3 linked regions of the Schizosaccharomyces pombe genome follow. The protein of the gene in region 2 purifies or fractionates together with the protein of the main gene of each other region. This does not show direct contact. Each region holds a gene or a part of one and is shown on either strand. Other genes may lie near its edges.

Region 1 (6,736 bases), on a different chromosome or scaffold from region 2:
GGACGATAGTGTTAAGCTTATTTGTTGGTATTCGGATGTACCATCAATATGGGTGTGATATCTTGCTCATTGGCAAGATAGCCATTTCATTGCTTTGTTTTTGGTTTGGTAGAATCGCTGTTCACTATGACAGGCTAAGAATTACGAGTGCCTAGAGTGTGGTTGACTTCGACCTTGTACTTATTGTATTCTCCATGTACAAAAAATGTCTAGAATGAAAGAGATATGAAAATATGTTCATGTGTTCTTACTGCATTTGATTTAAAAATCCTTACAATACAACTCATTTCTTGGTTTCTTGTGAATACAGTTGGATGAATTGAGAATTACAAGTAAAAAACATTGAAATCCAATTAAGATTGTAAGCTGCATGGAGTCCAATTGTATGAATGTGTGCTTCAAAAATTTGTACTGTCTTTCTCATTCTTAAATATAAGCAGTAATTCATTTAAAAACATCAACTTGCCCTAAAATATGTTCAATAGTTAATTGATATTCTTATTTAATTTTGCCAAGCCTGCTAGAGTAGAAATCTTTTACTGCGCTAAGTAACGCATTAATCATAATTATGTTATTATGAAATGATGTTGTAAATCTTTATTTATGTTTAACGAAATATACTAAGGTTGATAAAACTCATTTTGCTATTGATAGCTTAAAAGCAAATGTGTTATTGTGCTTTTACTTTTTACCATTTACTTGGTAAACAACTTGATAGGTAGATATTTAAGCATACATCGTCAAAAAGATGTCGCTGGTACCTGAGCATGGAAATGTGTACGTACTAAATCAGACAAATCAATTAAAAGGGTTGTTTACCATCATTCGTGATAAAACGAAACCTCGTGTATGCGCGTTCAGTTTACAACAGATTACTGAGTCAAGGTCTAAGAACTAATTGAAATGAATGTGTTAATATGTCCAAGAAATTTTAGCTTTTTCCTCTATTAATGGGGAGATAAATGTTTATCAGTGGATGATAGGAAGCATTCATTATCAGTTAGTACATTCGACAACTTCTCGTGTATTCTTTGTTGAATCTGTTATCCCTGCTAACATGATATTTAGTCTGAATTTATTTTTTATGCCAATAGAATCATTCGTTTAATTGTTGAAGAGGGCCTCAACCACTTGCCAGTGTCTTCAGCTAAGGTAACGACTGCTCAAAATGCTGAATACGAGGGTGTAATGTTTGATGGTCGTATTTGCGGCGTTAGCATTATGAGAGCTGGCGAAAGTATGGAACAAGGATTGCGTGAATGCTGTCGTTCTGTTCGTATTGGAAAAATTTTGATACAGCGTGATGAGGAAACTCATAAACCTGTGTTACACTACATCAAGCTTCCCGAAGATATTTCTAAACGCTATGTCTTACTTTTGGACCCCATGCTAGCCACTGGTGGCTCTGCTATTTGTGCTATGGAAATTCTTATCAACATGGGTTGCAAACAAGAACAAATCATTTTCCTCAATGTAATTGCCTCGCCTGAAGGGTTGAAAAATGTTCACGATCGTTTCCCCAATATACGTATAGTTACCGCCGTAATTGATGAGGGACTCGACAACAATGGGTATGTGCACGATACACTACAAGTGTTCATGAGGTCAATACAAAGTTGATCGCTATTTCATTCATGAATAATCTTTAACACATATGATTTAGATACATTGTTCCAGGTCTTGGCGATTTTGGAGACATTTACTTTGGAACGAAGGCCTAAAGTTGCTTTGAAAATTTGCTCAATTAAACACACAACCACGCACTAAACATTAAAAGACTAATTTTAACAGCACTTAATGAAATTGCGGTTTCTTAACTTTTGTCTCTTCTTTTTGTTGTGTTTGTGCTACCCAACTTGGTGAGCGTCGAATCTGTAAATATAGGTCAGTGGCCGTTGTTTAAATAGTAATAGAAGTTTGGAAATAATTGTACATACTTCAGGATCAGAATAAATCTTATATCCCATGGTAAATATTGCAGTGGACCCAGCAATTCCAATGAGGATTGCTAAAATTCGTTAGTGATTTGACAAATTCGGTTTTCTCAGTAACTAACCCAGAGGTTTGAGCTCAAAAGGAAGCCTTTGAAAGGCCCTGTAAGGTTTCATAATTCTTGATAAAACTGCCATTTGTACACTTAATAGTTAAGCATTCAAAGTCTTCTCTTCAACTTATATTGGGTTGCCCTTCCTCCTGGTCTCGTCATTATTGCTTTACTTTGGCCACACTTATGTAAAGTGGTATATTGACGAACTAACGAGGCATATTAATATATCATAACAAACGGGGTTGCTTACTGTGCGCTAAGAGTACTGTGTGTGTTGATAAAATTGCTCAATCGATGGTGTTGCAATGTAAATAATCAATTTCTAAAATGACGACGAAACAGTTATCGCAGATGGGGAATTTTTTTTCCGCGTATTACAAATGTTGTATTACTCTTTTTGTCTATCATGCTTTATGAAGTTACTGTTGAAGTTTTTTGCCTGTTATTCGTTCTTTAGCACTTGCTTATCTCAAGTGGCAGCTTGTCCTTTCGTGGAAGTAGGAATCAAAAATGAACAGAAGATTTATAAATAGCATTCAACTCAAATTTAAAAAAAAAAAAAAAAAAAAAAAAGAACTCACCTTCTTATAATATTTTAAGTTTATTTACAGAATGATTGCAGCTTTTGCAAAGTACTTCATACAGTCTTTCCATGCATGTAAAAAAACCCTAGGAGGTATTGAATTCTAAATAAATTCATTGATCCTGACTTTTATTTAGGTATTCATAAATGATTACAGTATAAATAAATGCCGGAATGGAAGGAATATAACTGGATAAAAAAAAGAAGAAATTGGTTAAGCTTAAAAAAAATTTACAAGTTTATAAATAAAAAGGTATATATATTCACAACCTGTGTAAATCTAGCTAGTTTCGCATATAACCAAAAAGTTGAAATAAGTAAGGGTAGATCGTTATTAAGGATAATATTTTTATTGAAGGAAGCCTGAAGATGATTTAACAACTTGAGCGGAGCGGCGAGCATCTAAGAAAAGATCGTTACATTCTTCGATATCTTGTACACCAATCTCTTTGTTACCATGCAAACTGGCAATAATGCTAACGGGTGTCAACAGTTGTATAACATAACGGAGACTAGTACGAGAACCTTCTTGAGCCAGCTTGTCCAAACACTCATCAGTAAGGATGATGTTTTCAACTTTTGCACGTATCTGCAAAATGGAACGAATTTCTGACTCTGAATAGGGGAGTGTGCGAACTATTAGTAATCTGTCAAGCAAATCCGTAGGAATACCATGGGGAGCTTGAATATCCTCAGTACCCCGAATGGTACAAATGCCTCGATTAGAGGCAAAGATAACAATAGGAGAAATAGTGCTTTCTAGGGCTTGGTTGAGATAAGTAAAGCACTCAATGTCTAACATATGAACCTCGTCGATGAACAAGACACCAGGAATAAGTTCAGCGATTCCTTGTTCGATATATTTGTTGACAACCTTGTTAATTTCACCACGAAGCTTATCGGTGATTTCAGTTTTCTTGGGCTTCATTAACTGACCCATCATAGACATTATATCTTGTCCTCCTTGAGGGCGGGCATTGGCAATATCCAAATCATGAAGAGTCACGTCCTGAACAATTTCTTTCCGCTTGTGTACCTCACCTTTAGGCATAGGAACATATTCTTCCGCTTCTAAATCGAACTCCGTAGCATACGCATCGCTACGACCCACTCTCTTTACGGCACCTGTATTGGCTTCTATGTAAATAACGTCCCCGGTTGACACTTGTTCTCTTTGTAAAGATTCGTAAATGCTAGGATCTAATTTGAGCTGTTTGGTACCCTTATGCGTTTTGAGGCCCAAAAGGACGTGTGAAATGGTTTTTCCATAACCGCCCAAAGGATTTTCGGCTTCTTCGGGAACCATTTCTGTAACCTCACCCTCATACACTTCTTTTGTTTCCTTTACCCGAAGACCAATGGCCCTTCGAAAGTTTTCCATTAAAGCCTCAGTTTTCTTTATTTCACTAGAGTAGACTTCACTTCCCACCATAGGACAAAAAGGAACTTTAGGACCAAGTTCTTGGGCAATCGCCAAGGCCAGTGCTGTTTTACCAGTACCAGCACCTCCAGCGAACAATACACCTTTACCACCAAATTTTTTAGACTTGATTAAATCAGTGATGATGCCACAAGCCTAAGAAAATATATTAGAATACATTATATTAAAGAATTATCAGGAATGCTTACCTCACGAGCCTTTTCTTGTCCAATGAAACCTCCACCAACAGATTCACAAGTTCCATCTTCTTTTAGGCCTAAACCTTTGATATGTGAATGTGTAGTAATCCTATTATCACGGCCATTTCCCTTAACCTCGCTGATTTGGACCATTTTATAAGTAGTTGGTTGAGGATAGCTTGCTTTCAAAATGTGACATTAGGGTTGGGTGTAGCAAAATAGTACCAAGTTAAATAAGAAGAAAGTAGAGCTGAGGTAATGAAAAAGACAGGAAATGAAATAATAAAGCAAAGAGGTGTATTCTTTCTTTAAAAAAAAAAATTAAACAGAAATTAACAATCGATTTTTGAGGAATTCTATTTTACTGTATATGATGCAAAAAAAATAGTAACTAAAACTGTTATAACGAGTACTTAAGTAATAAACGCAAATACATCTAAATGTTTTCAAAAAGTTATTCTTGATTTATTAATGAATTATAATTTTCTTATTTACATACATCCCATATGTTGATTAACTACCATCCTAGAATAGCGATATATATTTAAATAAATACGGTGAGCATAAAAACGAATAAAAAAAAAAATATATATATATATATATTGAAAACTTGTTTGGATTGCTTAATCCGATGCTACTACTGTTTCGCTGATTTTTTCTTCTGCTTTTTTTATTTTTAATCTCCGGGCAATCTGTAATCCTTCGATAGGTTTTGTAGTGCTTAAACGCTCGCTCATTTAAGATACAATAAAACATAATTTTATTAGCGACAGATAAATAAATGAATATAAACGGTAATAACTTGGGAATCATTTGTTTACATCTCAATTTTCTCATGTACCAGGAAAATACCCGCAATTCCGTCTAGCAACAGCGAATTAATGTTTATCAATAAATTTAAACTTAACCTGCCACACATCGTGATCCATCAAAAGATTGGTAAGGAAATTTCCTAATTTCACAATCTTTTTTCGCCAAACAAATAACGATGTGCAATGCACTGCGAACATATCTGTGAATTTCGCACTGATGTGGAGTTGTCTTTCACACCATCCTACAGGGAAAGTTTGGGCAGGTTAAAAATTCATGGCTGAAGTGAATGAACCATTGCAAATTGAACTTCGAAAGATTCGAAACAGCTCCACTGCAGGTGTCATAAACGAATTCGATGTAATCGTTAGTGCAGTGGAGGGGACGTTGAAGGAGCAAAAAACTGAGGCGACACCAACTGCTTATTTGGTGGCCCTTCTAACTTTAGTTAAGGAATTCACGGACTTAAAGAAAAATTTTAAGGGACACACGTTTCAACTACTGGAATTGGTTATTAAGTATGTGCCCTCTAATGTTCTGCAAGCAAAATTTCCCCAGATCTTGTCTGTCCTTGCTCCAGTTGTAAATAATGCAGAAACCAATAAAACCGTCCTTCTCCCCTATCTTAATGTTTTGGAGAAGCTTTTACTTCTTCAGGATTATAGCTCTTGGACTCATGGCAATTCTTGCAAAACTTCTATCTATATTTTATTATTCTTTGCATTGTCCAATACTGAGAAGACGAGAGTACGTTCTTTGCAAATTCTGGCCAACATATTAAAAAATCCTCCGGCAGGTCCTGTAACGGAGCATCCTGCTATAAAATATACTGCATTCGAGCCACTTCGTCTTTTGGAGTCGCTCGCTACTGCCAAAAAGCCCAAAACTCCTGCAGAAGTCCAAAAGCTTAATAATAGTTTGGTTCTTATTCGTGTGCTTTGTTCTTCTACACATTGGCCAATGACTCTCGTCGAAAGGCTATGTAGGTCCTGCGTATTAATTGTTGGACAACGAAGCACAAATTCCATTCTTCTTGTTTATCAAATTTTGGATGGGTTGTCAAAAAAATCAGTGGATTATACAGATGCTGTTAGTCTACGAATGACTCTGATTTGTTTGCAAAAATTGGAGCCATCAGAACACGATCCGATTCTGATGGTAGGCTGGTTGAAGGCCATGAATACGGCCATTCGCGCCTTTAATATTTTAGACAAGGAGACTGCAAAATATGAATGCCTTCATAGATTTAAAGCTTTCTTTACTTTGTTGGAATCTGAATCGATGGAGATTCGCTTGCAAACGGCCACCACAATTTGTTCTGTAATTGGTTGTTTGGACACTACTCCAAATTCATTTGCCGTTGTCGAAGAAATCTGTTCCTTTATTTGTGATGCATTAAGGGATATTCGTTTTCGTCTTGCTTACCCAGAATGCTTTCAGATTATCTCTTCTTTGTGTGACAAATTAGGTCCTCATTCAGATCCCTATTTAATTCCAGCCTTGGAGGTCATTGATTACCTTAGGGGATCGGAAGGGTTTGATGGAAAGGCACTGGTTGATGAAGCCATTGGCTCCTTTGTTCGTGCAATTGGTCCCGAAGCCATGTTACGTGTTCTCCCTTTGAATTTGGAATTGAACGATAAGGATGCCGTTGGGCGCGCGTGGCTTCTTCCCGT
Region 2 (10,550 bases):
GGAAATCTTATTAGCAAACGTTATCCAACCTTTATACTACTGCCGATTATTTTTTCTATGATTTCTTTAAAATATAGGTTGCGACAATTCATTTATTCCATTACGCTGCGCAAATCATCCAGTGCCAGCTCTTCCGATGACTTTGATGATTCATCACTGAATTCAGAAAACGATGATGATCTGTTTAATGAAACCTCGGCTGCCTATTTAGCTGAAGGCAGAGCCCTTCTTTTGGGTACAAATAATGCCCATGTTTAATTTACCGTTATGAGCCCTATGTATTTTAATAATTTAGTCTATTCTTCACATTTTTAACAGCAATTGTTATTTCTCAACTATTTTCTTATACAAGTCTATCATTTACATAACGTTAAAAAATTCTTTTTAGTAAATTCTTCAAAGGATTCTCATAAATAATAATTTCATACAGCTATCAAATACCAGTTAAAATTAATTGAATAAAGGAGGCGCCTTGAGCGGAACTAGAAAATCAAATGATCCTTTTATTACATGAAAAGTCTACATAATTACGGGTACTTCGTATTCGAAGCATCTGTGAGAATAATTCAAAGACTGATTTATTTTTTTTCGTATGCATCATAATCATCTAATAGATTCATAGCTTTTTAAAAAAATTGGTAAAGTAGAAGAGGTACAGAAAAGCGAGTGACTTGAAAAAACATATACAGATACAGTGAATCAAAAATGCCTAAACATTTCACGAATGAAGTCTACCACCAGTCACCAACGGCTTGCATGGCAGTAGCAACCTTCAAGAAACCAGCAATGTTGGCACCATCGACAAGACTGGGAATGTTGTTAGAGCCAGAGTCACAATACTTGGAGGCGACATCGGTGGATTGTTCAAAGATGTTTTGCATAATTCCAGCCAATTTAGCGTCAACCTCGGCATGAGTCCAGGTAGAGAATTGAGCATTTTGAGCCATTTCCAAGCCAGAAACGGCGACACCACCAGCATTGGCAGCCTTACCAGGAGCAAGCCAGCAACCCTCACCAGAAGCACGAGACTTCTCAAAGACTTCAACGGCCTCAGCAGAAGAACCCATGTTGGAGCCCTCAGCAACGTAGCGACATCCTTGTTTGATAAGAGCGGCGGCTTCCTCACCGCTAACTTCGTTTTGAGTTGCACAAGGCAAAGCAATGTCAATTTCACCAACATTAGTCCAGGGACGAGCACCGGCGATGTAGTGATGCTTCTTGCAAAGAGAAGCAGAGTCGGCAATGCTGGCACGCTTCTCCTTTAGAGCCATAATTTCATGGATCTCTTCAGGGACAAGGCCTTCAGCGGTCTTTGCAATTAGGACACCTTTAGAGTCACTGATACTCTTAACAATAGCGCCTTCTTGAATGCACTTCAAGGCAGCATATTGAGCAACGTTGCCGCTACCGGAGATGGCAACACGCTTGCCCTTCAAGGTCTCGGCACCCTTGGTGCGGTGTTCAATCATGTGCTTAACATAGTAAACGACACCGTAGCCAGTGGCTTCAGGACGAATGTTGCTACCGCCGGTAAGCATGTGCTTGCCGGTGACGACACCACTGTACTCATTGCGAAGACGCTTGTACTCACCAAACATGTGCATAACGACAAAACCTGTGACACCAATATCACCAGCCGGTACATCAGTTTGAGGACCGATATAGCGGAAAAGCTGACGCATGAAAGCTTGCGAGAAGCGACGAATCTCGTTGTCGGATTTGCCCTTGGGGTCGAAGTCAGAACCACCTTTGCCACCACCCATGGGAAGGCCCGTCAAGGCATTCTTGAAAATTTGTTCAAAGCCCAAGAACTTGAGGATGCTCAAGTTGACGGAAGGATGGAAACGCAATCCACCCTTGTAGGGGCCCAAAGCCGAGTTGAATTGGACACGGTAGCCGGTGTTAACACGGCAGTTACCTTTATCGTCCTCCCATGTGACGCGGAATTCTAAGACACGTTCGGGAATGGAAATGATTGGAAGCACACGCTTCAACTCGGGATGAACTTCAAAGAGCTTGGAGCTCTCGATGGAGCCCACAATCTCCTTGTAGGCTTGTTGAAATTCAGGTTCGTATGGGGTACTCATGGTGGGCCAAAAAAGTAAACAAAATCGAAGGTAGTGATATAGAGTGTATATCTATATAATAATGATAAGTTTAGAGAATTCGAGATATCAAAAAAAGGCGACCTCGAAAACTTTTAACAATACAAATACAGGCTGTACAATCCAAAGTTCTATACAAATCCGTATTCGACGCCTTCAACGCAAAGACTTTCAAAATTTAACTACAATCCAACAAAACTCTTACAACGTGAGTATGTAAGAGATATCGATCCGGGTTCAAAACGCTTACCAGATGTACCAGTGCAGTGTAGCAGGAGGATTCAGGGACGTGCTGGCCATGTCTGCTATATTTATACACTTAACAAGCAATAATCAACAGTCACACCAGATACCTTGTTTTTTGGGAGACCATACGTTTGCTAATGGCTGACGACTTGCAATAAACCTGATGGAAGAGCGATGGCGGAGATAACAGACGAATAGGATGTAAGTATGATGTCAAAATCTCCAATCACAATGCTCCTATATATCTCTTTTCTCTATAATTGGATAGTGGAAAAGAAGATTACTTAAGCGGAAAATTTCCGATCTGATAAGCCAACCCCCTCACAGAATTCCTTCGTCTCCTGCTCAACCAAATAAAGATAAGATAAGCATTGCTTAATGATTGGTCCGTGCAACGGCTATCACCCACCCTACTGAAAATGTGGGGAAAACGCAGCTCCTCCGGGAAAATCCATGGAATTATAGAAGATCCTTAGTGGGATGGGGTGCTTGGGGGGGGGGGAAAGATGTTTTTAGATGAAAAAAAAATGTTTTAGAGAGGTTAATGTTGTAATATAGAAGATTTTCGCTTTCTGTTGATTAACAGTTTCTATAATTTTTTTAAGAAAAAAAATCTGGAAAAGTCCAAGTCCTTTGTTAATCTAATCTCGTTCCAATCTCTCACATCCATTTAAAGGGTCTATTCTTTACTCCTTTCAGTTGCTGCCCCCTTACTGATAACAAGGATAACTAAGGATAGTACCAAAAGAAAAAAACGCTAAATACTGAAATAGGTCGAATCACACTGAAACGGGTAGGTTCTTCCAGGCAGACCAAATCGCAAATACATATCCGAAAATTCGAGTAAACGGCCTTGCCTCGGTTTTACAGTATGGACTAAACATTCGCTCATCCAAACGTATTGCGCCTTAGCAGCCATAGTCATGACTAGCTTTCAATAGAAAAAAGACAAACGAAACAGAGTCATGAAATTCGTAGCGTAGATGTAAGTTAGAAAAATTTCAAATTTCTTTATTTTTTGGTCTTCTGATAACCCACTATCCCACTATCGTTTGTCCATTTATTCCTTGCCCGATCATGTGGCTGTTTGCTTTGAATCTAAAATTGGATAGAAAATAGTTCATTCGAAAGATTAGCGAAACTACGAAACAAGGTGCGATCGTCGTTGTGCTCGGTAGCAAGATGAGTTTGTTTTTTAGTATAATTTAGGTAGCTGCCAGCCTCGTTTCGTCAACTTAGCTAAATTCGTTGAGTCTGACTCATTGAATGTAGGTAAAATGGCTCATCTAAATCGAAACAAGTTGAATCGAGTACAGCCTTAGTCAAATCAAATAATGCCAAGATGAAAAAAGTCGAGCCTTTGCCAATATAATTTTATGCGATGTAATGGAATTCTTTGCCTGATTTTTAGGCTCTTTGTATTTTCTTTTAAAACACGGAAAATTCTAAAACTGGTAACCACTTTTATTATCGTTAAATGATGGAAATCAATGGTTTTTTAGCTCCTTTTTTCGGTTGATTCAAGTGTAACAAATTGTCCAAAGAAGGGAGTGGTTCCTCTTGTGTCTCGGTTTTCCCGCTGCCTTGTTGCCCAAGCAAATCATTGAAAACAGTCTCCGACGTCTTTGCTCCGACAGGTTCCAAAACTTCATGTGTTCGGCGATATGTACGTTGAACACGTTGCTTTCCCGGAATTAACAATTCAGTAGAGAAAGTGTCAATCATTTGAGACCCTCGAACTTCTCTCTCATAATACACTGCGTCGGGATTTTGCTTGGAAAATGCGTTCCAAGTTTCTTCCACCAATGATTCATCCCCCGCATACTTTTGAGACATGTGAGTAATGGCTCGTATGATGGGTGCCGTTATCCCCATAAGCTTCAAATACACTACAATGCTCAATTTGTTAGCCACACATGCTGAAGTTACTTTTAGCATTGCCCTTTGCAAACGATGCTCACTAGAATATGTTCGAGCAACATTGAAAAGATGCCAACGTTGGCACAACGTCTCCAATCGTGGAAGCAAATCTTGGCGAATCCTAGATGTCATAAAATCATCTGCAAGGGCGCAAACTTGATATATAGTTTCTAATGCGCATTCTACTAGCAGTTCGTTATCCGTGTCAAGCTGAATAACGACCAATGGCCAAAATGTATTAATAGCAGGATAAAATGTGTTTGGCTCCTTAGCCAAAACATTGCTTCCATAGCTCAACAATTTTAACATTTCCACTCGTATCGTAATTTGTTCATGTGATAAGAATAACTGCGCCTTTTCCGTGATTTTCCTTACCATATCGACGACATCATCTTTTTGCTTTTCTCCTTGTTCGTCCATAACATTACTATTTATGTTTTCATGATCAACTGTGGTCTCACCCATATTTTCATTTTCTTTGCCCTTCTTTTCTTTTTCCTTCATTGCATGTTCGCGAAACTGTTCATGTCCACTTTTCGTTTCTTGTTGTTCATCGTGTATCATATCCTCTAGTTCATGATCATCTTTTGGAAGAGGATAATTAGGGTTCTCTAATAGTAGTTGAACGAATTCGCGAATCTTTTTACATGGCTTATTTTTATCCTCGTTCATTGCGTCCTCCTCCACCCCGACGATGAGCTTTTTCTCCTCGCCATTTATACTTTCTTGCTTTATTATGGCATAAAGAATTCCAAGCAACCCTTCTGTAAGCCGTGCGTAACCATGGTAAGCATCCAAAATCCCAAAAATAGCATCCACTACATCTCCAATGTACCGAATGCATCCTCCATCGTCATTCTTTATTACATAAGCCATCACAATTGGAAGTTGAGGTGATACGTCTAATGTGTTCAATTTGAGGGCAACTGAGTTGACCACATAGTCAATATTTTCTCTAAGTAACTCTGCTGGCGTCGAGTAGTTGCAATTTGTCGCAATTGCTTGAATACATGCCTCTGCAAACGAAGATACATAAGGAGAAGCAAACGCCAAATGTTCAAGGAGAGGATAAAAATATGCCATTAATTTTGATCGAAACTTTACTCCTTGTAAAGAAGAAATCCAGCTAATGCTGTCAATAGCAATGCAAGAACGAACACACAAAAGATTATACTTTTCCTTTTTCTGCTTATCCTCCAACGATGCTTTCGTAAAGACATTTAATTGCGATAATTGTTGCAATACTTCGAATGAATATTGCTCTAATGAATCAATATACATTTCCAAACTGTCCACCGTTTCTACGTCACTTTTCAAAAGTACCATAAATGCCCAAAATGCACGAACCGAGTTTTCATTTGTTGCTGAGGTAGCCTTAGAAAGTAAGGACTGCATAACATATTTAACATTAGGTGCCTTTGCGAAGCTTGTAACAATCTCTTGTGTTGTTCTTTCCATCTCATTTCCACCAAAAAATTCACCATGGATGTACTCATTCGAAGTACTGGATGTTAAAAGCTTCTGCGAATTGGAATCAATTCCCGATGACTTTGGTACAAGTTGGCTGAGTATACCATCCAGTAAAGGCTCCATGAGCTGCAAAGTCTTAGGAAGATGACTGGATATACTTAAGAGACTTTTCAATCGGTTCAACTCCTCCAATTTATTATCTTCTGAAGCAAAAGTGGAAACACTAGACCATGTAGTAGACCAATCATTTAGGCATTCAGTTAATACTGATTCCATAGTAATATTGTTGAATGATTCAATGAGAGAAACGAGTTTGTTCATCCCATAGTCCCTTAATTTTGGATTTTCTTTTTTATTGATCAATTTTAGCATGCTCTCTAGTAAATGAATCCTACAATCTTTTAGTGAATCTAAACAATCTCTAAATAGGATAAAGCAAAAATCAAATAAAGCATCTTGTACATGTAAGTTTTGTGAAGAACGAAGGTGAAGAATTGCCTTGACGGCATTGCTTAATTGTTGGCAGGTAGCGCGTTTCCAAGACTTTGTACGCTTCGTTGGGCCAAAAAAATGAGAATTAGAAGAAGCATCTTTTTCATCTGGCAAATCTTTTGTGTTATCGTCACTAATAGCTTTCACCACTGTATCACCTAAAATATTCAAAGAGATACACACGTTTTTAAAATACTGACAGGTTCCATTTGGCGCCAGTCCCTTTGTCAATCCCGATACTATGCCAGGAAGAAAAGTAGTAAGAAATTCTGTTGGTAAGCGATATTGCTTTGGGCATATTAGCTTTTGGACGCAACACAATGAGGCAAACTGTAATCTCCGTGAGCTATTTTTATTTGGAATAATATCCAAAGCACTAGAAAGAGCTCTCGCAAAGAGAAGATACTGTCTTTTATCGTGAAAATTAGGCTTAAAATCTGTAATAACGTTCTCAAGCGTTTCGAAAGTAATTTCTCGAACACGAAAATCTTGTTCCACAGTTTCCGAAGGAGATTTCCATCCATCTGCTATATTAAGAAGCATCAATAATAGTTGCATCGTCAACATTTCATTATGAGCTTCCCTCCAACCATGCTTGTAAAGCAAATTCACGCACTGAATGGCATACTCCACTCCTGTACTTGGGACACGATACCAGGACTTTAGTACAGGTACAATTGGAAAAAATATGTAATCGCATAAATTTAGTGGTAAATCGGCGTCTGTATTGGTCAATGCTTTTTCCAGCCCAAAGTACGCATCCTTCAACGAGTTCTTTAACCCATTGGAGTCAACAGATGAAGTTTCAGAAGATAGAGGAAGAGAATAGAAGCTTAACTTTCGAAAAGGATCTCGAATTTGTGCGAAAATACTCTGTATATGAGACATGTAGAGAAACCATGAAGTTATAGAGATGGTAGGTCATATACAAGCAAACCATTTAAAAATGCATACTTTTGCGATTGGAAATGTATATGATATTACAGTATTCTCTAATAAATAATTCAATATTATTCAAATGATTTGAATATTTAATGTCGTGCTAAATTATAGCAAGTGTTTTGACTAGATGCACAGCCAATTCCCAGTCGGTTTTCGTGAGAAACATTGAAAATATTTAGCAAAATGAGTTGCAATGATTTGACTTTGTTCTTAAAAACTTGGAAAGATATATTGCAAAAAGCTGCAAGTTTTAGGGTTACATTCAAGTTCTTACTGATGACCATTACTTTGATCTCAACTAAAATTTTAAATTAAAGAGAGAATTTTTGAAGCTATGCAATTACAATAATAATAACTTCGTAGCCTTTCAGCCTTTTAGCGTATCTGTTTACATTGAATTAAAAACTCGATAGTATTATTTTATATTTTTTAATAAACATTTTAACGTGTGTGTCGAAAGACATATATATAGTATAAATAATTTGTAGCTCAAATTACTTTGCTATGCAGACTAAGACTGGTTTAATGTGTGCAATGGAAGTAGTGGATGTATTCACTCAAATTTATAAGGGTATAACCTTTTTACTAGTCTAGTTTTGTAGTTTCAAGCTTCTAGTCCTCTATAGTCCTTAAAAAAGTCGTTAAGTTCATAAAGACGATACAACTTAAGAGGTAGCCAACTCATAAGAGATTTTCTGCTACATACCTTTAACAAGCGAGGAACACAGTAATTTCTGAATTTCTATTTGTAGTCAAAAATCACTGAATTATCAGTTTGTTTCAAAAACGAGAGGATTGTTTAAACTAATTTGCATTTTCTTAAACCAAACTTATTGTAACTTGAATAATCTCTTTAATCTATTTATTTTGAAGGTCAATGAACTCTTAGACAGATATGAAAATTGCTCAAAATAATACCGTAAGCTTTCCAAGAAACTAGATGCTGGTATTTTAAACAGTATGGATCAAAAACAAGAAAAAGTTGAAACTCATAAATGCATTCAACTGCACGACATATTTATTTCCTTCATGTTTTGATTTTATATACTTGGAATACGTTTCACCAGATCTTTAACGTTTTCTTACGCACTTCCATAAAATCTCACACCATGGTGAGACATGAAAATAACGAAATTTCAAAGTCACTTAGAACAAACTACAATTAATGAGTTGGTTGTTTAAATAATCTAATAAAAAATGTCGTATAAATTAGACCAACTCACTCGTCTTCCTGAAAACAAGAAATGTTTTGATTGTGATGCTCCAAATCCACAATGGGCATCTTGTAATTTGGGAATCTTCATTTGTTTGGATTGCAGTGGACAGCATCGTGGTTTGGGAGTCGAAAAGAGCTTTGTCCGCAGTATTACCATGGACAATTGGAGTGAACGTCAAGTGAAGATGATGGAGGTAAGCATCAGGATTGATACGGGCTATTGGAGTTTGTTGGTTATTTTACCAAAAAAAAAACATATATATATAATAATTCATTTGGCTGAGAGGGTAGCGCTATTGATCTGCGAGTTTGCTTGCCGCTATTTCGAATTTTTTCCAAGTCATTTAGTGCCTTTTTTTGACAAGAATAATGTTTAATGTTAAAAACAAGTACATGACGCGCAATTGATTATCACCTGAAGTTATAAAATGCAAGCTCACTATAATTTCATCAATGACTTGAAACAACATATATAGCCCACATTTGTTGCATGCTCCTGACTAACTTCTATACAGGTTGGTGGAAATTCTAATGCTAAAACATTCTTGTCTACAGACCCGATGTTTTCTGCTGCCGGAAGTATTCGTGAAAAAGTATGATCTTTGAACCTTCTATATTTTTTCCAGTTTACCTTATTTTGATTTTATTCACATTGACTAACACATTTTAAGTACAATACCGACATTGCTGAGGACCTACGACAAAAAATTCGTGCCGAAGTAGATGGTGTCGAATGGGTCAAAGTTGATCGTCCTAAGAGCGTTTCCTCTCATGCTTCTGTAACTTCATCTTCAACTGTTCCAACTATTCCATCAGTTTCAAAAGAAGCAAATGATAAATATTTTGCAAAGCTTGGTTCCATTAATTCCCAACGCCCTGATGATTTACCCCCTTCACAAGGAGGTCGCTATCAAGGGTTTGGAAGCTCTAACTCTGTTAATCCCAATTCTTCTGCTAGAAATAACGGTGGCTCTTTTTTGGACCAATTATCATCTAATCCTGTTTCTGCACTTAGTCATGGTTGGAACATGTTCTCCAGATCTGTTTCCCAACAGATTCAAGACGTAAATAAGTCCTATATTCAGCCAGGGATTACAAAGGTACAAACATTTTATTGTATCCAAAAAATAAAGTTTCTGTTGTACTGACTCTGTTTTTAGGTTCAAGATCCCGAAACAAGGAAGGATTACATGAATGCCATTAATAATTTCTCTAGTAACGTTCAGGAAGGTGCTAAGCAATCATTTACACAACTTAAATCCTTTTTGGATGAAAATGTATATTCCGAAAACCCCCAAAACACCCGCGGTACTTATGATGCGGAAATCGACTCTCCTTATTCAGCTCTCGCTGCCTCTCCTCCACCTGAAGACTATTCGAAAAAGAATTTCGATAAGCACGATTGACTTTTTTATTATTAAACTCGTAAGCAGTTTGATATGTTTCATTGCTGTTAGGAGTGCCTCGTCTATCAAGCATTCGTCAGCTAAAACATAAACGAAGAACGCTACCGATAAAAAAAATATTGCTACTTCATTAGAATTATCTGACATTTGAAGCTTCTTCAAGTATAATACATGGGGAACTGAAAAAAAAAGTTTGTATATATTGAAGACGGAGTCTTCTTGTTTATTTCTGTTACAAAAGTTTCATCGTTTTAGGCTTATAGTTCAAAACAATGAAAAAAATGATAATAACATATTTTATTTTCATTAGCATAAGTTGAATGCCGGCTAAATTTTAAGAAGATAACCGGATCATGTGCTTTCTTGAATAAAACCAATGACTTTTTTCTTTTTTAGTCGACGATGCCTAATCGGTATGTAGAGTGGATTTTAAAAGAAAACAGGAAAGACGAAGATATGAGGATATAGGCATTGCCGGTCATTTTCCAAAACAAAAATGCTGGTCATAACATAATTAAATCAAAATGCTTAAAAGCTCAATGATAAAAATCATTCTAACAAAAGACAATAAGTCATTGACCCATCAAATATGGTCATAAGGCGCACTGCCTCCAGTGTCTAAGTTAGACAACGGCTGGCTAGTAGCATTGGCTGATTCGTTACTAACTGGTACGTAATACTGATTTGGGTCATAGTAATAAACGAAACCGAAGGGGGGAGTTGAGACCTGACTAGCAGGTGAATAAGATCGTA
Region 3 (7,312 bases), 150 kb from region 2:
GCTTGTTGAGCACTGATAACAAAATTCCAGAATCCGGCTCAGATCATCCCTCAAGTCAAGATAATTCCAGTAAAGCATCCTTGGTAGAAAACTCTCAGACACAATCATCTACTCCGAGAAAGCCGTTGCCAACTACCACTAGTCCTAAAGTAAATCCGGAACCGCATAGCGAAAGTATATCTGACACACGACCTTCTACTCCTAGAAAAGTGCCACCAAGTACAGTTCCTAAAATGAACCCGAAGCTCCAGGGTGGCAATAGCGTTACAGCCCCTTCCACCCCTAGTAAAGTGTTGCCAGCGATGAGTCCCAAGGTGGCTCCCAAATTCCAAGGTGGACGCAGCAGTACAGCGCCCTCTACTCCTAATAAGGTATTACCAGCAGCATCTGCTAAAGCTGCTCCAAAGCTTCAAGAAAAAGCTGCATCATTTGACATTCCTAATAAATCTACTATTATCTCTACTAAGTCAACGGTAGCATCGCCAATTAAAGCAAATGAGAACAGTCCTGCCTTGAAGTCTAAAGCATCTTTTGAGTTCCCTAAGGAATTAGATCCTGATGGTACTTGGAATGCACCAATTCCTTATCCTGATGCAAATTGTCCTATGGCTCCCACTTATCGGAATTTGACTTCTGAACAAGAAGAAATGTATGAAGAAGTACTTAAATATTGTTTGGAATTAAAAGAGATTCCTGTAGCGTCTAATTCTAGCAAGAAAACGGATTTGATTGAGTTGGAGCGTCTTTGGCTAACACGCGAATGCATCCTTAGATATTTGCGTGCTACTAAATGGCACGTTTCCAATGCAAAAAAGCGTATTGTTGATACTTTGGTATGGCGTCGTCACTTCGGTGTTAATAATATGGATCCTGATGAAATCCAAGAGGAGAATGCAACTGGTAAGCAAGTATTGCTAGGTTACGACAAGGACGGTCGTCCCTGTTTATACCTATATCCAGCTAGGCAAAACACTAAAACCTCACCACTGCAGATTCGGCATCTGGTTTTTTCATTGGAGTGTGCTATTGATCTTATGCCTCCAGGAGTAGAGACATTGGCTTTGTTGATTAATTTCAAGTCTTCGTCCAATCGTTCAAATCCCAGCGTTGGTCAAGGTAAAGAGGTACTGAATATTTTGCAAACTCATTATTGTGAGCGTCTTGGAAGAGCACTTGTTATTAATATTCCTTGGGCTGTATGGGGTTTTTTTAAATTGATATCTCCATTTATTGACCCTATTACACGAGAGAAGTTAAAGTTCAATGAACCGTTGGATCGTTATGTCCCTAAGGATCAATTAGATTCGAATTTTGGTGGATCTCTTCATTTTGAATATCATCATGAGAAGTACTGGCCCCAGTTGGTGGAATTGTGCAAGTCACGTCGTCTTGGCATCTTGGAAAAATGGAGGAAGATGGGATCTAAAATAGGTACAAGCGAATGGGATTTGAAGGGTGGAGAGGAATATGTTGAATTAATGCAACAGTATGTACGTCCTTCATTGACAAATCGTTCATCTTCTCCAACTGTTACTCCAACTGTAAATACTGATAGACAGCCAAAGACTTTAACCAATAGTGCTGATGAGCTCTCTCCTCAAAAAAGACGAGTTGAGAATCCTAAGCCCGTTGTCAAAGATGAGGGGCCTGTTTCTATCGTTGAAGATGAGGAATCGACGCCTGTTGTTACAAAAAAGGAGGACTCTATTCCTGTTGCTCAATCCACCAAAGCTGATGCTGGGCTCGATGCCGAGAATGATCTTCTTCCCAAATCTGGTTCCGGTGTTTCAGAAACACCAGCTTTTTCGCATGCACGAGATGTTTCTACGGCTTCATTTAGCGACGCTGTTTCGTTTATCACCGCGGATAGCATAGAATAGTTTTTCTTAAGCTCTCGAAACCTCTTCACTCTTTTCTCTTATACTTTATTCGCAATTGAGCTAGTTCTATGATTTCTTTTTTTACAGCCTTGAAAACTTTTAATAGAGGGCTTTTGAATAATTCGGTGCTGAAAAAAGAAAATCCACTATTACTGTACATATTTAGCTAACAGTAGAGTCATTGATATTTCCAAAGAAGATCATTTGTTTTAATTCCTTTTTTCTTATATAGTTGATAGTTTCGTGCTTTTTAGTTTCAATAAGAAGAATTACCACACTTCAATTTATAACTTGGCATCTGTAAAATTCGTACACGCTAAATGAACCTTCCAAATTCCAAAAGTTGGAGACGCGTAACCTTTTACTCAATTATCAGTTTACGCCAAATATGTTAATATATTAATGAAGAAAAGATAACTTTTACTCGATGTAATACTATGACTTCTCTAAATGACATCGTTAATAAGTTGTCTTCATCAAAAATCAAAACACGATCAGATGCTCTACAAAATCTTCGCAGCTACATAATTTACTCCAGAAATGGAAATTCGCTAAATCAGGAAGATGCTTTAATAATCGAAAAGGCCATAAAGCGAGCATTCGAACTTGAATGGCAAATTTCTGCTAATCATGGTAAACGTCAAATTTCCAAAGCTTCCCAAGAGCAGAAGCTTCAAGATATTAGCTATTTGTTAAGAACATGTGTTGAATCTTATATTTTATTATTTAGGGAGCCTCATATTTTAGCGCTTCTAGATATAATTCTAAGACATACTTTCACAGCTAATGGTTCTATATGTGAGGTAGTCTGTTTGAATTTTTCTAAGGCTCTTCGGCTACTATTATCCCATTCTCCTCATTTGCATCATCTTCGTTTCTCGGATTGGCAATCACTAGTTTCCTATTGTTGTCAAGCTATTGAAAAACTAAGTATAGCTGAAGAAACTTATGTTAGTGATAGTGAAGAAGAGCCAATAAGCCAAAAAAACTATCAAGAAATATCTATCTGGAAATCGCACGATGTTATAAGAGTAAAGCAAGAAGTCGTTGAGCTCATTTACGTTATGCGTTCTCTTGTTCAATGGTATGCGGCTCCAATTAATTTTGTTAGTGAGCAACTGCTGAAATTTTTTGAGTTCTTTTTTTATGCTTACACGGAAGAAACAGATGCGCATCTACCAGCTTTGCAGTGTTTGTTTCAGTTATGTGCATATGCGATCCCCAATTGTAATGATTATTCCGCAAGCGTTGTTTTATTAGTCTTTAAGATTCTTATAAACTCTGATAAATGGAAGCGTCTGGATTTAAGATTGCAGCTTATACAATGCTTAGCCATTTCTTATCCACTTTGGTCCAATTCAGAAACATGGGATCCCCATCGTTCCATTAGATCTTTTAATTTAGATCTTCTTAACTCTTCGTTTTTTTCTTTAAAAAATTTCTTAAATTTTTTTGGAAAACGCTCCTCATTATCGCTTGCGAATTTTAGATTCCATACAGTTGAGCCTAAGAACAACATTGCAAAACTTTACGATCCACGGCTACACCTTTTTTTTTCTCTTAGACATAATTCTTTCTTTGAATCTTACTTTATTTATTTTTTTCTTGCAAAACTAATTCTCCTCAAAAAAACCGTGTTGTCCTTAGCAAGCACGGAGCAAGCCAACAAAAAGCAGAAAACATGTTCTCAAATAGAGGAACTGCTTTTGCAAGCTGAGCTAGCCAATATCTCGGCTTCCTCTTTTTCATTGCAACTCATGGTAATTATCACTGCTATTTCTGACAATCTAACAAACGATGATCTATTGTCAATTCAAAAAATGAGTCTTAACTTTACTGAGAAAAAAAATGAACTTCAAAGCTGGTCTTTTTTTATATTGTTCAACATTTGTTACAACAAAGCTTACTCTTCGATGCTTACGACTTCATGTAAAAAGGAAATTTTGGCTGCTGCTTCTCGTGGTCTCCTGAATTCTGTTACGTCTCCTGTATGCTATCAAATTTTAACTTATTTTAACATGTATCGGCCTTTGTGCTTCGCGAGCATTTTTCCTTTCATAAAGCAACAGTTTATTTTATTTAATGATTACTCGCCAATGCTTTCATATGAAGCCATTGATTACTGGAAATCTCTGTACATATTACTTAATGAAAACCTATTTGTTGGTCAAAGCTCTTTTAAATCTGTGTTTCTAAAATGGTTGAAGTGGCATCTATATCATTTGTTCAGCAAAGAGGGTGAACTACCATTTTTCTCATTTACCGATTCTTCTATTATCATTTTTGATTTGTTAATGATGATCTTCTATAGACCGTTGTCATTATCTTATATCACCACAGAAATACGATCACCTTTCGAACGTAATTTGTTTCACCTCAAAGAAGCATGGTCGCCTGTTACGCTTCGTTTTCCTTATACTACTGACGAAATATGTAAACAGTCTACAGAAGGATGCTATCCTTTCAATAGTAACCATACTATTGACTGTGATAGTTTGCAAAATGTCATTAAAATGTTGGAGAGCTCGATAGACGAAATTAGCTCAGCATCTTATGACAAAGATGAGCTTGACAAGGAAACCCCAAGCTTCGAAGCAGTTATGATATTTTCTCAGATATCATTTTTATGTGGCTTTCTAAATTGTTTTATCCAGAAAAAAGGTATTCATAATGTTACTCCTAACAATCTTGTCATTTTTAAAAATTTATTCCCTGAAGTCCTTTCTTTCGTTAAGTCTAATCACAGTTATGACCCAATAATAAATTGCATCTCTACTAATTTGCAGTTTACTATTTCTGATGAGCCAAAACATCTTCGGTATGAAATTGGAAGCGACTTAATTCGTTCAACTCATTTTCGAGACAGTAATCCGCTCAAAACCTTGGTTCTTTATATAATGGATATGGCTTCTAAAAACGTATTCATAAAGCCTCAAGAATTTGATCACGATGAGTATTTCTCCCAGGAGGAAGAAGATATTTATCGGCCAGAAAATTTAATCAGGAATCATCAAATACTTGGTTTGATGGAAGGATCGCTTGAGCAAATACGGAATACTGATCTTTTTATTTTACAAAAATATATCGACTACTTTTCTAGTCATCCTCATGACAGCTTAATTAATATTCTTCATTTGTATCCCATTGAAACTTTTTGTTTTGGTATGTCTGCAATTGGTGCATATTTCCTAGATGTTGCGCGGACATCCGAACCTATTTTCTACAAATGTCTTGAAATACTGGCTCAAAAAATTTTAATGAATTATGATTATGAAAGAGACGAAGTCTATCTAATGATTTTTATTAAAATATTTCAAAAATGTGTTCATTCTAAACTTCAGTTCACGGACGCAACTTTGAAACTTATTGTGAAGATTACAAAATTCATTGAAAAGGTTTTTATTGAGACTAAATTTTCATCATTATCTGGTAGACAAACTTTTTTAAAATTTATATTTCAGTTATCCCCTACATCTCACGTTTATTCAAAATTCGATTATCAAAAATTGATTTCTTTAACTCTTAAAGACTCTGATGTTTGTGTTATTTATAACTTTGTTGACGATTTGGTGATTTTTCTTAAAAAATGTGATAAAACGTTAATTGAAGGTTTTGTTCTCCCAATTTTAAGCATTAAAATTGAGAAGTCATTGTATAAAGGCTTCTGCTATTTATATTTGACTTTAAAGGTTTTTTTGTCAATAAGTTCCAATCGATCAGCATTGTTGTATCAGCTGCTTAAGCTTGCAAACAGCTATGAAACGTCAACTATTTTTGAACCTTTGCTTCGTAAGCTTCACATTCAGAGTGCAAATATTAAGCAACTGTTTCGAATATACAGGTTAGAGATATTTTGGTCATTCGTCAGCAAAGATCTTTCTAATACAACCAATGACTTTCTAGAATTCCCCTACAAACCAATTTATTTCAGCCTTTCCGATTTTTTAAAAGAAAACAGCGACGAAATTATACTTGTTCTTATTCTGACTAAGAATATAACCTTGGCTAAACTCATTACTTCACGCATGTCTGTTGATTTTTCTGAAAAGTATACGCAATTGATCCCTGTTATAACAACTTATACTCATCTAAGTGAAGTAGAGAATAAAAAGTATTCGTTGAGATTTAATTCTATTGATGAAGCACTTGATGTGGAATTACTCAACCGCTCCAAAGCTTTTTTGTTCTGCTTAGAGATGCTTAAAGAGGTTAAAGAATTAGGCTCTACTTTTAAATCTATAAGCTCAACTTCGTTTAAGGTGTACTCACAATTAACAATTTTTGCCAATCGCGTCTCTTTTAACAATAGCACAGCGATACCATTCTTTTCTACAAAATCTGTGTTATGGTATTGCAATAGACTCTTCCAAGAATTAGAGGGCTTCTCCTCTATCCCTTCAGTCATTGATTTAGTTTTAAGGAGACTTGCAATACAACTACACTTTGCGACGGATGAAGAACTTCAAGTTACTATTTCTTTTAGATTGTGTGCTTTTCTATGTTTCTCTGATCCTTTTATCACTTCAAACTATTTGGTAATGATAGTACTTAGGATAGCTAGACAATTACTCTCAATACCTTGTACCCAATCACTAGGATTAGGAATTGCGCGCTTTCATTTGAAAAAATTCAAACCTACTGATTTTGATTATTTCTTTCAACTAGCCGAATTCTGTATGGACTTTTTGGGTTTTTGCTACAACACTATTGGTACGAAGATGGAGGCTATCCAAGATTTTTATACTTGGTTTGATGGTTACGTTACTGCTTTACTAAATTTTGAGTATGAAGGTTATGGATTTTTACGCTGTCAAATAAACTTTGTACGTTCAGTGATGACAACCAAAAATGAATGGATAGAGGTTTCAAATAAACTGTTCGAAAGAGGTCACTTTCTTAAGAGAATCGCAATGAATAATTATCTTTGTCTCTACTTTTGGCAAGTCCTCGATGCTTGTCCCAGAAATGTTTTACACTCCTTAAGCCTTGAAATTTGGAAATGTTACAAAGCATACGATATTACTGAATTTCCTGACTCTTTGAAGCTCTTTTTTTCAGACATCATGGGCTGGAATTTTTTCAAATCTCCGGAAATTGCTGATCTCAATCATTATATACCCAAAACCGATCCTCGATTATGCGATACTAAAACTTATGAAGAATCAAAACTTATTATTTGGAAATTGATATGTCAAAAAGCATGTTCTCTTTTATTTAAATATGACATTTTATTAGATTCATTCATTGAGGATTGCATTAGGATGTTCTTTGAAAATGGTAATCACCAAGAGCTTAGAAAATTTTTAAATTTTCCAAAAGATAGTATCATCTACGATAGTGATTTCAAGACTCTTGTTTCTGAGGAAGGTTCTTTTCAATGGGTAAAATTACAACCCACAAATTTTGATTCTTTGTCAAATTGGACTAAGGAA

Evidence for each region.
Region 1: the proteins of tti1 (region 2) and rvb1 purify together in Schizosaccharomyces pombe (affinity purification with mass spectrometry, with the first as the bait; one study listed by BioGRID). This does not show direct contact.
Region 3: the proteins of tti1 (region 2) and tel1 purify together in Schizosaccharomyces pombe (affinity purification with mass spectrometry, with the first as the bait; one study listed by BioGRID). This does not show direct contact.

What each region holds. Positions count from the first base shown.
Region 1 is NC_003424.3:4,921,931-4,928,666, reverse strand, and holds rvb1 (chaperone, AAA family ATPase Rvb1), read right to left. Parts: upstream 4,421-6,736; 5' UTR 4,404-4,420; coding exon 4,260-4,403; exon of another isoform or gene 4,207-4,259; coding exon 2,980-4,206; 3' UTR 2,602-2,979; downstream 1-2,601. Other genes in the region: SPOM_SPAC1B3.01C (uracil phosphoribosyltransferase), read left to right, coding at 749-847, 1,069-1,571, 1,664-1,721; protein Min8, read right to left, coding at 1,795-1,872, 1,938-2,008, 2,057-2,129; SPOM_SPAPB8E5.08 (uncharacterized protein), read right to left, coding at 4,776-5,087; ribosome biogenesis protein Rrp12, read left to right, coding at 5,337-6,736. UniProt on the Schizosaccharomyces pombe protein: DNA helicase which participates in several chromatin remodeling complexes, including the SWR1 and the INO80 complexes.
Region 2 is NC_003421.2:1,418,726-1,429,275, forward strand, and holds tti1 (TTT co-chaperone complex, armadillo-type fold subunit Tti1), read right to left. Parts: upstream 7,143-10,550; 5' UTR 7,122-7,142; coding exon 3,825-7,121; 3' UTR 2,421-3,824; downstream 1-2,420. Other genes in the region: lmb1 (plasma membrane LMBR1-like multi-pass membrane protein, human LMBRD2 ortholog, implicated in signaling), read left to right, coding at 1-258; NADP-specific glutamate dehydrogenase Gdh1, read right to left, coding at 732-2,087; SPOM_SPCC622.14 (GTPase-activating protein), read left to right, coding at 8,373-8,585, 8,907-8,984, 9,063-9,491, 9,552-9,797; SPOM_SPCC622.15C (uncharacterized protein), read right to left, coding at 10,381-10,550. UniProt on the Schizosaccharomyces pombe protein: Component of the TORC1 and TORC2 complexes required for the regulation of the cellular respons to changes in available nutrients.
Region 3 is NC_003421.2:1,272,441-1,279,752, reverse strand, and holds the start of tel1 (ATM checkpoint kinase), read left to right. Parts: upstream 1-2,211; 5' UTR 2,212-2,317; coding exon 2,318-7,312. Other genes in the region: pdr16 (sec14 family protein), read left to right, coding at 1-1,880. UniProt on the Schizosaccharomyces pombe protein: Serine/threonine protein kinase which activates checkpoint signaling upon genotoxic stresses such as ionizing radiation (IR), ultraviolet light (UV), or DNA replication stalling, thereby acting as a DNA damage sensor.